2 linked regions of the Mus musculus genome follow. The protein of the gene in region 1 interacts with the protein of each later gene in a biochemical or structural test. Links are inferred from orthologs where the notes say so. Each region holds a gene or a part of one and is shown on either strand. Other genes may lie near its edges.

The links. The genes of interacting proteins can lie anywhere in the genome.
Region 2: the proteins of Araf (region 1) and Gna12 form a complex in vitro, tested with the Homo sapiens proteins (2 studies listed by BioGRID). The link is inferred for Mus musculus from reciprocal best matches to the Homo sapiens genes ARAF and GNA12.

Annotation. Positions count from the first base shown.
Region 1 is NC_000086.7:20,850,158-20,857,409, reverse strand, and holds part of Araf (serine/threonine-protein kinase A-Raf), read right to left. Parts: intron 7,166-7,252; coding exon 7,062-7,165; intron 5,945-7,061; coding exon 5,842-5,944; intron 5,753-5,841; coding exon 5,598-5,752; intron 5,481-5,597; coding exon 5,382-5,480; coding exon of another isoform or gene 5,378-5,381; exon of another isoform or gene 4,505-5,377; intron 4,093-4,504; coding exon 3,951-4,092; intron 3,851-3,950; coding exon 3,823-3,850; intron 3,734-3,822; coding exon 3,594-3,733; intron 3,498-3,593; coding exon 3,295-3,497; intron 1-3,294. UniProt on the Homo sapiens protein: Involved in the transduction of mitogenic signals from the cell membrane to the nucleus. May also regulate the TOR signaling cascade. Phosphorylates PFKFB2.
Region 2 is NC_000071.6:140,825,541-140,833,313, forward strand, and holds the start of Gna12 (guanine nucleotide-binding protein subunit alpha-12), read right to left. Parts: upstream 4,892-7,773; 5' UTR 4,757-4,891; coding exon 4,454-4,756; intron 1-4,453. UniProt on the Homo sapiens protein: Guanine nucleotide-binding proteins (G proteins) are involved as modulators or transducers in various transmembrane signaling systems. Activates effector molecule RhoA by binding and activating RhoGEFs (ARHGEF12/LARG).

The DNA of each region.
Region 1 (7,252 bases):
TATTTTATTTTATTATTTTTTTATGGCTTTGGAACAGGGTCTTATGTTGTATACCAAGCTGGCCTGGAGCTAAGTAGCCTGGGCAGGCCGCAAGCTCTCAGTGATCCTTCTGACCCAACCTCGCAAGCTCTGGGATCATGGGCATTAGCCACCATACCTAGCAGTGGCTATGTTACAGATGACAAAGTAGGAAGCCAACCTTCTTTATCAATACTGAGAGAGAGAGGCTCAAGACATAGAGACATGTGTGACATGGGAGGATGACAGTTTACTAATCACTGAGAGGCTTAGAGGCAAAGAATCTAGAGTCCGAAACCATGTTACAACCCAAACCTTTACCAGTCACTCATTGTACAACCTTGAAGAGGACTTCTAACCACTTTGGTCCTCTTGTTCCCAAACCATACAACTGCTATCATTACAGCAGCGGCTTTCTGAGGATGTCACAAAGGGTGAACAAATGGTCTGAGCGGTCCTTAAAACAGCTGGACAAACAGTAAACATTCTGAAACTTCCAGTTTGTTTCTGGGTACCTGAGTCTACTTCATGGAAACTGTCACATGCAAACCTCTTTAATATAGTTTATGAGAAAACCACATTCTTAAGTATTAACCACTGTTTGAGTACGCAAATGCAAACAACAGGGATAATATTTAGATCACAGAAGACAACAGAGCACCAGGACATTCCCTTCTTGTTTTGATACTTGAGCTGGAACATAACCTTTCATATGCTAAGCACATGCTCTACCACTGAGGATACATACTTACACACAAGGACTAGGGGGTTTTTTGGGGTTTGGTTTTTGTTGTTGTTGTTTCGAGACAGGGTTTCTCTGTGTAGTCCTGGCTGTCCTGGAACTCACTCTGTAGACCAGGCTGGCCTCAAACTCAGAAATCCGCCTGCCTCTGCCTCCCGAGTACTGGGATTAAAGGTGTGCACCACCAACGCCCAGCTCTAGTTTTGGTTTTTGAAACAGGGTTTAATGTATCGCAGGCTGGCTTCAAATTCCTGATCCTCAGCCTACCAAGTGCTAAGAGTATAGACATGTGTACTACCACAAAAAAAATTTTTTTTTGAGACTAGGTTTCATCACATACTCCAGATTTTTTGAACAATCTATGTATTTCTGTGTGTGAAAGTATACATGTATGTGTTAGTACGTGTGTATGAAGACTTAAGTGGAGGCCAGAGGTCAACCTAGGATGTTGTTTTCAGGACCTACTCGAGTTGTTCATGCATTATTTTATAAACTGGTTTTGAGGCAGGAGATTTTTCACTGGGACCTGGGACATGCCAATTAGTCTAGACTGATGAACCTCTGGAATCTTCCTATCTGTGTTTCTCCAGTGCTGAGCTTGTAAGCCTGTGCTGCCACACCCAGCCTTTTACATGGGTGCTAGAGATCAAACATAGGTCTTCTTGCTTACATGATAAGCACTTTACTACATTATCACACCAGTTCTGGTCTCAAACTGTTGTTCCTTCTGCCTCAGCCTCCCAAGTACTAAGATTACAGGCATGCACCATCATTCTCAACACAGGGATTTCTCCCAAGTACTAAGATTACAGGCATGCACCAACATTCTCAACACAGGGATTTGTGTGTGTGTGTGCGTGTGCGTGTGTATAAGAGAGAAACAGAGACAGACAAAGACAGAGGCAATATACAGGTATGCGTGTACATGTACATCTGTGCACACAAACGGAGACCAGAGGTCAATGTCAGGTGTATTCTTCAATCACTCTCCACATTGTTTTGTATGTGGCACACATACATGACTGTGCATGTGCATGGGTGGAGAAGCCAGAGGTTGATGTTGGATTATCTATCTCCCTTGATTGTGTTCCACCTCTTTGGGTTTTTTTTTTTTTTTTTTTTTTTTTTTTTTTTTTTTTGGTTTTTCGAGACAGGGTTTCTCTGTGTAGCCCTGGCTATCCTGGAACTCACTTTGTAGACCAGGCTGGCCTCGAACTCAGAAATCCGCCTGTCTCTGCCTCCCAAGTGCTGGGATTAAAGGTGTGCACCACCACGCCCGGCTCCACCTCATTTTTGGAGACCGAATCTCTAACTAAACCTAGACCTCACCAACTGCCTAGACTGGCTAAGCACCAGTAATCCACTCTTGTCTCTGCTTTCCCAGTGCTAGGATTACAGGTGTGCACCACTGCACCCAGCTTTTTACTTTTTATGTGGGTGATGGGAATCTAAACTCAATCACAAACATATTAAGCACTTTACTGATGGAGCTATCTTCCCAGCAAATATGAAGATTCCTTTGTCTGTGATCATCTGTGTATATAGAGCATGTGTGCCACAGTGTACATGTGGAGAACAGAGGACAACTTTCAGGAGCCAGTTCTTTTCTACCATATAGGTCCCAGGGACTGAATGGACTCAGGTTGTCAGTCTTGGTGCTAAGTGACCTCAGCAGCATAAAGATTCTTAATAGTGGGAAGCCAGTAGATAAATAGAATGCAAATTAGTGCATACTCAAATCATCAAACTTTACAGAGATGAGCTGAGAATAAGTTTTCTTATTGTGGCATCCATTGTGTTTATCTGATAAGAGGGGGGAAGCCCATATATGCATCCTCAGATTGTCAGAAATTATACCTTCCTGATAACAGGGAGTATAGCTCAGTGGTATTACATGTGCTTAATATGGTTACACACACACACACACACCCTATACAACCTTGCTTATATAAAATAAAGGCACAAAGTACTATGCTACATAGTAACTGTAGTGGCTAAAATGGTGCCACCCTGGTTTTTTCAGTGTGAATGAATTAATAGTGTTGATCATACCTTAATTACATCAATTATAATAACTACACAACGGGAATATAGAATATGACTATAATTAATATTGTTGTTTGCATCAAAGAAAATTTTAAGTATAAAATTATGATTAACAACAAGCCCACAACACAATGAGTATAATAGCAGTGACTCAGCAAAAGGAAGGACGGATATGAGCACTCCTGGAGCTGGAATTACATAAAATCTTCATGTGTTAAATAATCATGGGAAGGTCCTATGGCTAGATCTAGTTCCCAGCCAGCAAATAGCAATGTTCATCCAAAGAAAGACCATCATCATTGTCCTCATCTGCAGCCCATTGCTCAGAGGAGAAAGGGTCATCTCTTGGAGAGAAATTGAGCCTCATTATACTTCCAACATGGCACAAATAGAGTACACACCCAGGAAGTACCCCAGCATGGCTTTTTCCCAAACACTAAATGCTGCCTGCCACCATCCTGTCCCACTTACATTCACAGCAACCTCACCTGAGCACCTGCATCTCATTCTTGAAGGCCTGGGCCTGCTCAGCGGTAGGTTGGGCCACCTTGAGCACTTTCACAGCTACATCGCCATGCCAACGCCCCCGAAACACAGTGCCAAAAGAGCCTGTCCCGATCCTCTTCAACAGCTGTACCTCACTGGGTGGCACCTCCCAGTAATAGCCTGAGTCCCGGTACCCCAGGTTCTTCTGTGGGCCAGATGGGTGGCATCAGAGGGGCCTACCCACAACCCTCCGTCATAGCACTCAGGCTATGGTGGCCCCCAAGGATTTCCTATGGCATACCACTTTTTTCTTTTCATCTGCCAAGGACTTCCGCTCCCGCTGTTCTGAAGGTAACTTGGAATGTGGGGACTTCCTCCCTGAAGACACACTAGCTGGGCTAGGGCTACCCCGAGGGGCTCCATCACCACCTCTACCAGCAGCTGTGGTTGTACAGAATGCTGTGAGTGGAGGCAAGTGGGGTGGTGGGGCAGAGAGCTCAGGGTGCAGAAAGGGGTGGGGGTTCTCTCACCATCGGTGCTGAAGCTCTGAGCAGTAAACTGGAAGGAGGTGGGAGCAGAAGTCAAAGTGAGGATATGGCAATAGTAATGGCTCTAAGCAATGCTCCATGCTCCCCACTGTCACCTCCTTGACACCCACCTGCATGAGGCTGGAGTCCATGGGAGCTGTGGTGCTGACCATGTGGACGTTAGGAGTAGATGTGGAGCGGATGCGCTGCAGTGGGGGATTGGCAGGGGCAGGGAATGAGAAGTGCTCCTGGTCACGTTGCTGGGTAAAGGGGCTAATAGAGAAAAGGCTATGAAATCGCTGCAGAAGGAACTAAAAAGCAAAGAAAGCCCAACTCCACCACCCTGAATGTGCGTTCACTCAAACAGTACATGTCTGTTGGTCAGACCAGTAATCATCTGCCCAAGAAACATTTACTGAGTGCCTCCTGTGTGCCAGATGCAACTCGAAACAGAGGAGATCAAACTGTGGATACCATAAATAAAAAGCTCTTGCCCTTGTAGAGTTTTTAGCAGAGGCAGAAGAATAAAAAAGCAAATATATAATGTGCCTGTCAGTGATAGGCACAAAAAGAGGAAAATCAAATGAAGGAGGTAGAAAGTGTCCCTGGGGGAGTCAGGAGTGGGTTCTCAGAGAGGGTAATATTGGGAGAAAGGTCTAAAGAAGGAACAATGAAGGACAAAGATAGTTGGAGAAAGGGTAAGATATGACTTTTTATTACATATCATAATGACATGTATTTTTCAAATATATTATTTATTTTATAATAATGAGCATTACCTATATTAAAATGGCAACGTTTTCAATACACATATTATATTATGTAATACACATTACACACATCATATAACGATTATACATATATCACGTTACAAAACACCTTTTTTACTGTTTTAAGACAGTCTCATGTAGCCCAGGCTGGCCTTGAACTTGCTACTTAGTGGAGGGTAGCCTTGAACTATTGATCGTCTTGCCTCCACCTCCCATGAATTATACCTTACAGAAAAACATTCTTCTGTTACTTTCACCATCCTGAGATTAAATTCACAGGTAAATCAACACACATACACTCATAACTACAAATAATAATACATTAACCTTACTTTTTATATATTATGCAAAACTATATGCTATCATATCCAACATAAGTGAAATAAAAGTACTTTCTGATACAGTAACATTTATTTCAAAGAGAAAAGACTGGGGTGTGGTTATACTGGAAGAAATGAACAAACTAGATGATTTTATATATACACTTGTAATGAATAACACTTGTTATTTACTCTGTATCAGATCTTGCTTTAAGCATTGCAAATATCTCAACCCTTAATCCTCTTCAGAACCCACTAGGGAAAATCTCATCCCCTCTTCCCAGATGAAAAAAATGAAACCTGGAGTGACTGGGTGCCTTACCAATGATCCCACAATCCCATGCCCATATTCAACACTTGTAGGTACTCAATAGTATTTATCACGTAAACAAATAAACGAAAGTATAATCTCTCAGGGTCCTCCAATCCTTCTTTCACTGGCCCCCTGGCCTTTCATCTACGACATCCCTACCTGGGACCCTGGGGGGTTAGCAGCTCATTCACAGAGAGATTTGAGGGAGCCTCCTGCTGCCTGGAGCCTCCAGACAGATCCTGGATGCTGTGGTAGAACCTTGAGGGCATAAAGGTGTAAAACAAGAAGGCTGTGAGTATAGCTTGGCTGACTGTAAGCCCTCGTGCTGGGGCTTCCGTCCTCCCCACCCCTCAAGCCACCCCAGGCTGGGCTCACTGTCGGCGGTTGGTACTCATGTCAACGCAGACGGTGGGGACCTTGGAGGAACAATGCTGGTGGAACTTGTAGCCACAGGTCTGGCAGCGGAATCCATGGAACAGAAACTTAAGGCAGAAGTCACAGAAGGCCAGGCTGAAGAATGTCTTCCGTACCTGCAGCCACAAAGCAGGGAAGTGCAGGCCCGACTGAAGGCCCTCTCTGTCCACACTGTGGCCTCCCCCACCATCCCCATTAGACTTACAAAATTGTGCATGGTCAGTGGCACATCTTCTAGGACCTCCACAATGAGCTCCTCACCATCCAGAGGCGCAATGGCTGTGTCCCAGGCAGTGACTGTCTTTCTTCTGCAAGAAGTATGGGAGAGAATGAGAGCGATGATACACTGGGACCACAGTAGACAGGGAAGTTCCCAAAGTTCCTCTCAGTCCCATCCACGAACCACTCTCCCACATGTTTAATTCTCACTACGTTAGTCACTTTTGGACAGGAGAGATGATGGCTCAGCAGTTAAGAATACTTGCTTTTCTTTCAGAGGACCTGGGTTCAGTTCCCAGCACTCACACCGTGGCTCATAACCATCCTTAACTCCGGTGGGATCTTCAACCTTCTTCTGGCCTCCATAGGCGTGAGGAACACACACAGTGCACACGCATGCAGTCAAAACACTCATACACATAAAAAGGGTAACATTTCAAATAAAAAATAAAGTTAGTCACTATTTTTACTCCCACTTTACACATGAGGAAACAGGCTCAAGCAATTAGGTGAATTGCCCAAGCGCTAGGCTAACAGGTATACCCACCACTCCCAGATTTAATCCATGATCTTAAGCATGTGGTGAGAGGCAAATGAAACTACATCTCAGGCGTAGTAAGCCAGCACCTGAGACACTGAAACAGGTAAAATGAAAACAGGAACTCCATCCAAAACATTAAGGCACCAAGGAACACAAGAATAGAAAGGTCAGGCAGGCGTGGTGGCGCACACCTTTAATCCCAGCACTCGGGAGGCAGAGGCAAGTGGATTTCTGAGTTCGAGGCCAGCCTGGTCTACAAAGTGAGTTCCAGGACAGCCAGGGCTATACAGAGAAACCCTGTCTCAAAAAAAAAAAAAAAAAAAAACAAACAAAACAAACAAACAAACAAACAAAGAATAGAAAGGTCAATGAAGACCACCAACTCCATGGTGTATGGGGACCATGAGAAAAGAAAGAGCTTGTGACTTCAAGAAATGGTGAAAGAACAAAACAGATGAACTCTGGAAGGTGACAGACTGAGGACTTGAGGGCTGAGTGCATAGTGAATTGCAGACCTTCCAATGGTCAATGAAGGGAAACGAAAGATGTCACCTGGGTTACCTCAGATAGTGGAAGACTCCAAGACAAATGAGGAGGAATAAGATGGCACTGAAGAAAGGAGGTGTGTAGGGACCCAGTGAATGGCATGGGGTTTCCATACTTACCCTTTGATGAGCCTGTAGACCACACAGCAGTCCTGGTTGAGACCCCGCACCTTCAGGGCCTTGTCCAAAGAGTCATAGACACTCATGCCTTCCCGGACAGTCACCTGTGTGTGTGTGTGTGTAGAGATTGGGGTCTTCAGTATCCAATAGGTACCCTAGCCAATTATTCCTTCCCTCTGCAGCATTCATTC
Region 2 (7,773 bases), on another chromosome or scaffold:
GAAAACACAACATACACCTCTAAGAACAGCTGAAGGAAGACAGTGATTAAGGCCTAATGCCATCAGGGATGCAGAGAGACTGACAAGGGATGCACAAGCTCCTTTGGGAAACAGCTAGGCAGCTTCTTATCAGAACGAACACACCACTACAGTATGACCTGGTTACCACACTGTTGAATATTCATCCCAGACACATGAATACATAGACATGGACAAAAAAATGTAGATGGAACATGGCAGTCCACGCCTGTCATCCCAGCACTTGGAAGGGAGAATCAGGAAGGTCAGTTCAATGCCAGCCTCAGTAACATGCTAAGTTTGAGGCTAGCCTAGGCTACATGAGACTGTGTCATGACTAATCAATCGACCAACCAAACTAAAAGAATGCACATGAATGTTTTCAGAAGGCCTATTTATACTAACCAGAAGGTGGGAAGAGCCCAGACACCCCTCACCAGGTGAACGGAAAGGTGGACCATTACTCAGCAATAAGGCTGGAATTACTGCCATGTGCAGTTGCTTACACAGGGATTGCCACAGAAATGTTCTGATAAAAGTCAACTCCAAAAGCTCACACTGCGCAAATTCCATTTATAGAATATTATGTGTGGTGTGTAGTGCACACACATGAGTATGTGGGGTGCACACAGAGGCCAGAACAAGACATCAGGTGTCTTCCTCTATCACTTTCTGCCTGATTGCCATAAGAAAGAGTCTCCAGTATACTGGAAGCTCATTCCTGCCAGTCTGGCTGTCAAGCAAGCCACATCTGTTTCTGGTGCCTCAATGCTGGGGTTCACAGGCCCTGCCCAGCTTTTTACATGGGTGTTTGGGATTTGAATTCAGGACCCCTGCTTGCAAAACAAGTGCCCTTACCCACTGAACCAATATTCCTGAGCTGACAAAATGAGAGAATTGGGCAAACTGAGTGATAATGCCAGGATGGGAAGAGGAGTGGGAGGGGTTTAAGGTTGAAAAATTAAATTCTAATTAATTACAGCAGATGAAACATGTTCAATAATGAGTAAAATAGTTGGGAAGAAAAGATGGTGTGGAAGTAGAAGAGGGATTTGTTAGAAGGGGCTCAGTGGGACTAGGAGGGGAATGGAAGAGAGTGATAGGGTCTAAAAATAACCAAAAGACATCTTATACATGTATGAAATTGTAAAGGACTAAAAATTTTAAATTATTACTAAAAAAAAAAAAAAATGAATCCAGTTTTAAAAAAAGGCATTGTATCAAACCAAACAAGCAGAGTCCTTATTAACAAGTCCTGCTTCTGTTGCTAAGGAAGCCAGTAAAAGATTGTTGGCCCATGGTTTTCCCTGCTGTTCTGCTCCCACCCCAAGGTCTGAGGGGGGAGTAAGGGGCAGGAACATCCAGCTTATAACCCTCCCCACTAATCCCCAGCCTGCCAGGTCCACTGGGGCACAGCCAGCAGAGGTGAGCAGTGTCCTGTTTCCTGCGATCCACTGATCCACTCTCAGGCTCTGCCTGCCTCCCCAGGAGTCCTGCTGACATTGAGAACATCCAGACAACAAGAGGGACAATAGCTAAGGGGCAGTGTAAGAACACAATCAACAAGAGCCAGGCAACATGGCATCACCAGAGACCAGTTACCCTGCTACAGCAAGCCCTGGATATCCTAACATAGCCAAAGTACAAGATGACCTTAAATCCAATCTTATAAAGATGATAGAGGCCTATAGAGAGGAGATATATAAATCCCTTAAGGAGAATACAATCAAACCGGTGAAGGAAACGAATAAAACTGTCCAAGACCTGAGAATGGGACTAGAAGCAATAAAGACAACACAAACTGAGGGAGTCCTGGAGATGGAAGGACTCAGGAAGAGGTTTTATGTCAAAAAAAGCAAGCTAAATCTAAAAAGTTCATGGCACAAAACACCCAAGAAATCTGGGACAGGATGAAAGGACCAAATTTAAGAATAATAGGAACAGAAGGAGAAGATTTCCAACTACAAGACCCAGACGATATTTTCAACAAAATCATAGAGGAAGCCAGGAAAAGGGGATGCTGATGAGCACAGGAAGCCAGGAAAAGGGGATGCTGATGAGCACAGGAAGGAGACTGACTTCTCTAAAACGCACTTAATAGAGCAAAGTAGACTTGAGATCTATGTTCCCAAATAGTTTTTCTGCCTCCCAAGCTGAAAGAAACTGAGCCCTCCAAGCCTACCTGGCTCTGGGGTTCAGAAAAGCAGCAAAAATAAAACCAGGCTCCTTAAAGGAGATGCTGGAAAACAGGCCTTGAGTGACAGTCAAGTTTTACAAAATCCTTGAAGATGCCGGGAATTCTGAACAATATACCCATCCCTTTAAGGTTTGCATTAATGTTTATGAAGCACTTGGCCAGAACCCCTTGCTTCCCCGAGGCTCTCTCTGGAAGGTGAAAAGTGTGTGATTTTTCCTTCATAAGATTTTTTCCCCATCTTGAACCCAGAGGAGCTACTTGTATTAAAATGAAACATTTAGTAACAAACATGTTGAGTGTGGGAGTGTTGGCCCGGAAGTCTGGCTCCCAGGATCCCAGCCCAACCGCCCTACACCAAGGTTTCTCAAGGCCGAACTGAAAGACGTGTCCCAGATGGGCTTCTGCGTCCCCTTGCTAACTTAAAAAAAAAAAACCAAGGCCCTGTAAAAATCTAGTTTCGAGGGTAGCTTTTCTGATAAGACAAACCTCTCTACCTGCTTGAAACCGTGTTCCTCAGACCTGTCCCCCCACCCCCCAAAAAACCAGGGGCTTGGAAAGAATCAAGAAGAAAAAGAGAGATGAGAAACTTGACGAGGAAGCTAATCTAGGTGCAGAATAGACTCTGTGTCTAGACTTTTGCTACATCTTATTCCAATGTTGAGACAGGCTCTCACATAGTCCTGGCTAGCCTCAAACCGTCCATGCAGCTAAGCCTTGAACTTAAATCCTCCTGCCTCTACCTCCACAGTGCAGGAGAATCTCAAAATGCAGGAGAATGCTACCTTGACCAGTTTATCCCACACTCAACCCAGGGCCTTATGCACATTGGAAGAGACTTACAGAGCTACAGGCCCAGTTCTCCACAACTTTCTTTTTGACCCTTCTGCAAAGACTCACTGTATTAACACTGATCCTAGACTCTGTCAACATGACTGTTTCTTTCACATATACGGCACAGAATATAAAAGGCACAAGGGACAGGACCTTGAGTTCATTACCACATGAGGATTATTGCATCTAGTTCAAACAGACAAAACAACTATGCAACAATGAAGGACACGTGGACCCTGAATGACATGAGAAGGCTTCTGGAAGGTTCTTTGTTTTTGTGTTTTGCAGTGTAGAGGTTGGACGCCTTGGGCTTGTACTTGCTAGACTGGTGCTTTCCCACTGAACCATATTCCTAGTCTAATTTTTTTTTTCCTCTTCCTTTTTTTAGTTCTATAATGGTCCTGTACATATGCTTTTAAAGCAGGTTTAGTGTCACATACCAAGATGTTTTCTAATACAACTATATATCTTGGATTAACTTGGAGACTGGGGTCGGGGTGAGGCCGGGGGTACAGGTAGGGAGGTGGTTAGGGACGAACACGATTGGCACAGAACTGACCCTTGTTTCAATGCTGGGTAGTGGGTGTCTCGAAGCTCCTTCTAACATCTCACCTAACTTGGTGTGTATGTTAAATCACCATACTAAAAGGTTTAAAGAACAAAGTATGGGTGGCACATGCCTGTAATCCTACCACTGGGGAGACGGGTCAGAAGGATAAGGAGTTTAAGGTCAGCCTTGTCTACATGGCAAGGCCAGCCTGGGCTTCATGACTCCCTATCTCAAAAATACAAACACTGGCAACTTAGTCTAGTTAGTAATGTCCTCCCTAGCACGCATGAAGTTCTGGATTCAATCCCAGCACTACACGAACAAAGTATGGTGACACAGCGCCCTCCTCCTCTGTAATTCCAGGATTTGAGAAGTTGAGGAGAGAAAGGATCAGGAGTTCAAGGTCATTCTTAGCTACAGAGTGAGTTCAAGGCCAGTCTGGGGTATATGATATAATGTGTGTGTGTGTGTGTGGTGGGGGGAATAAAATGGTCAATTCTCATTTACAAATAAAAAACGAAGGCTGATGTCCTCCAACCTACACTATAAACTTTGCATGCTGGAGGGACAGGGAGAGTTGGCGACCCTCAATCCACGTGTCCAGCCCTAACACCCTATTTGTAACCCAAGTCCCTGAGAGTGGTCCAGCTTGCATTCCCACGGTCCCCAAGCGTCCAGGGCTCTGCAAATCTATCGCGCCCCTGGGAGGTCACGGGAGTAACCCCAACTGCATTGCTTGAGGTCCCTATTGGAAGGGAGGGGCGCCGGGTGGCAGGGTCGCGGGTCCGTGGAGAACAAAGGGGGCGGGGCCCGCGCGCCACCTGGACCAGGTGTGTGTGGGCGGGGCCGCGCGTCACCTTAAGGATGTTGTCGAAGATGGTGTCGCGGAACTCCAGCAGCGCCTTCTGGTCGAACTCCCGGCCGTGGATGATGCGCATCTGCTTGAGGAAGGTGGACTTGCCGCTCTCGCCGGCGCCCAGCAGCAGGATCTTGACCAGCCGCCGCACCGCGCGCCGCTCGCGGGCCAGCAGCGCGTCGATGTCGCGGCTGCGCCGTCGGGCCTCGCGCTCCGCGTCGCGCGCCGCGCCCGCCCTGCGCTCGCGGGCTCCGGCCTCGGCCGGCAGCAAGCAGCGGCTAAGGGTCCGCACCACCCCGGACATGGCCGCCCTCAGGCCGCGGCCGCGCCCCGCTGGGGCCCGCGCGCCATGGACGCCCCTCAGCCGGCGCGGCCCTGCCGGGCCAGGCGCCGCCCCGCCCGCCGCTCCCTCAGGCTGCGTCCGCCGCCGCCGCCCCGAGGCCCTCACTCGCCGGGCCGGCTGAGGGGCGGAGGGGAAGGCGCGGAGGGCGGGGCGGCGCCGCGCAGAAACTCTTTTATTGGTTGGGAAGTCTTCTATCTTGGGCAGCGCGCTTTTTTACTGGACAAGCGTGCCTTGGAGGAGGCGGGCACTCCTGTGGTCCTTGGGGCGGAGCCGGTGCCGAAAAAGGCGGGATCTTTTCGATGAGGGAGCTTCTTATTGGACTGCTGAGCAAACTTCTTTCTTTCAGAATGAAAGGGAGGTGGGGCCATTGAGGAGGAGGAGCTGAAGCCCTTCGCAACCAATTAGAAGTGCTCTGATCGTTTGTCAGTCACAATAACTACGCTTGGGATTGGAAGTTGTGGGAAATGGGGCGAGGCCAAAAGTGCCAGGTGTACAGAGTGACTCTCTGCCTTGATTCCCAGGTTGGTCCGGCTGTGAGCCCAAGATGTGGCTGCAAAGTTGGGAAATAGCGATGAGGTCCTCCTGCTCTTAAGTTTAGGGAGAAAGCTCAGTCGTTTTCCTTCCAAAAACATTGAAGCAGGGTGGGTCATCATTTTCAAACAAAAGCTGCTTTGAGTGTTACATGGGCCCCAAATAAGGAGAAAACAAACAAACAAAATTATTGTATGGGTCTCCCTAGGCACTTTCTTAAAATATGATTAAGGGGAGATGGTTCAGTGGGAAAGAACTGTGAAAGTGTGAGGACATGAGTTCAAATTTCCAGTTGTGCCTGTAACCCCACCTCTCAAAACCCAAGATAAGACCAATTCCAGTAACTTGCTGTGCAGCTATCCTAGCCCCAATGATAAGCTTAAGGTTCAGTGAGAGAAGCTGTTTGAAACGTTACAGAGGGGAGGCAGTTGAGCGACTTCTTGGCCTTTGTATGTATGTGCACTGGCGCGCGCACACACACACACACACACACACACACTTGCACACACATGCACGAGCGCGCACACACACATCTGTGTTTGTCATAATCACTCAGGCAGTTTGATGTGGAATAGTGGTCTGAAGTGTGGTGTCTGAAGGGTGTTGGTGCTGCATGGAGAATCATTACAGAAGCAAGAGAATTGAGATGAGTTTGAAGCCAGCCAGGGCTACATAGTAACTCTCTCACCATCTTGGCTAGAGATGATGTTGCAAGAGGAGGTCAAGCTTGTGTGATATAATCCCAGTATTGAGAGAGCCCGAGACAGGAAAATATGGAATTTGAGGCCAGCCTGGACTAAAGCTTGACTCTGTCTCAAAATGTTTTTTTTCAATATGTGTACCTGTTCCATATCCCACTTTCTATTACAAACAGAAGACAACCTTTGGTGTTGGCCCTTGCCTTCCACCTTGTGTGAGGCAGGGTTTCTTATTGTTTGCCATTGCATATGCTGGGGTAGCTGGCTCAGAAACTGAAGATAGCCCATCTCTACTTCCCATCTTGCTTGGAGTACAGATGCCTGCTACTGCGTCTGGCTGTGTGTGGATTCTAGCGAATCTGAACACAGGTCCTCACTCCTTTGAAGCCAATGCTGTACCCACTAAGGGATCACCCCAGCTCACGGTTTATTGTCTTTTAAGAGAGGTCTCATTTATCTCAGGCTGGGAAAATTACAGCCAAGGATGACTTTAAACTCCTGATCTTCCCGCCTTTGCTTCCTAAATGCATGCCATGACACCTAAGAATATGTTTCTAAGACAGAAAATGGGGGAATCTGAACCCATGGACTAGAGTTCAAACCTTATTCAGTTTTAAAAACCTAAATTAATTCACAGTTTTCGGCAAATGCTCCAGACATTTACAAATAACTTTATAAATAGCTTGATGCTGGTGTTTATAGAATCATTAACTATTTTAAAGGGCCATTTAGCTTTTTTTTTTTAGTGACACATTGTGGTGTTTTATGGGAGAAATTATATACTGTTGATAGTATCTAATTTGGGACTTTGACAAGGGTTCTGGCCATATCCTTCACATTTGCTAAAAGGCTAAAGTGCTTGAAATAAACACGTGTATCCATGCACTCCATAATAGTCTCTTAATTACCCCTGGCATTTATATGGCATGCTGTAATTTCTAAAGTGCTTTACATACATTATCTGATGTCATCTGTTCTCTCCACACCGCTGGGAGAGAGGCAAGTTACAGGGTAGCTCTAATAAAACAATCGGAGGGCTGGAGAGATGGCTGGCTCAGTAAAGTGCCTGCCAGAGCAAGCGGGGACCCCTGACTTTTGATTCCCCAGAACCTATGGAAAATGCCCGGGTGCTAGTGTGTGGCTCCAATCCCTAGTGGAGGTCAGGAGAAGAGAGAGAGAGAGAGAGAGAGAGAGAGAGAGAGAGAGAGAGAATATCATTCTGGAAGCTTACTGGCCAGCCAGGCCAGCTGAATCAATGAGTTTCAGATTCTCCTGTGTCTAATTTGCTCTTCTGTACTCGTGATGACAGACCATGACCAAAAGCAACTTGGAGAGGAAGGGGGTTATTTTAGCTTACAGTTACAGTTTACCACTGGAAGCCAAGGCAGGAACTCAAGGCAAGAGGTTGAAGCAGAGACTGTGGAATACTACTGCCCACTGGCTTGTTTGCCTGGCTCCTGCTCAGCTAGCTTTCTTATAAAACCCAGGGCCACCTGTCCAGGGCTGGCACTGCCCGCAGTGGGCTGGGCCCACCTATGTTACATTGGTCTACAGAAGATGCCCACAGGCCAGTCTGATTCCTTTTCCCCCAAATCTGTCAAATGACAACTGAAGCTAACCATAACTGTATCAAAAGGAAAGAAAGGGAAATGATTGAAGAAAGATATTTAAAGTTGAGCTCAGACATCCACATATGTACATTTGCATGTGTGTGTGCGCGTACACACTACAAGTACATATTCACACACA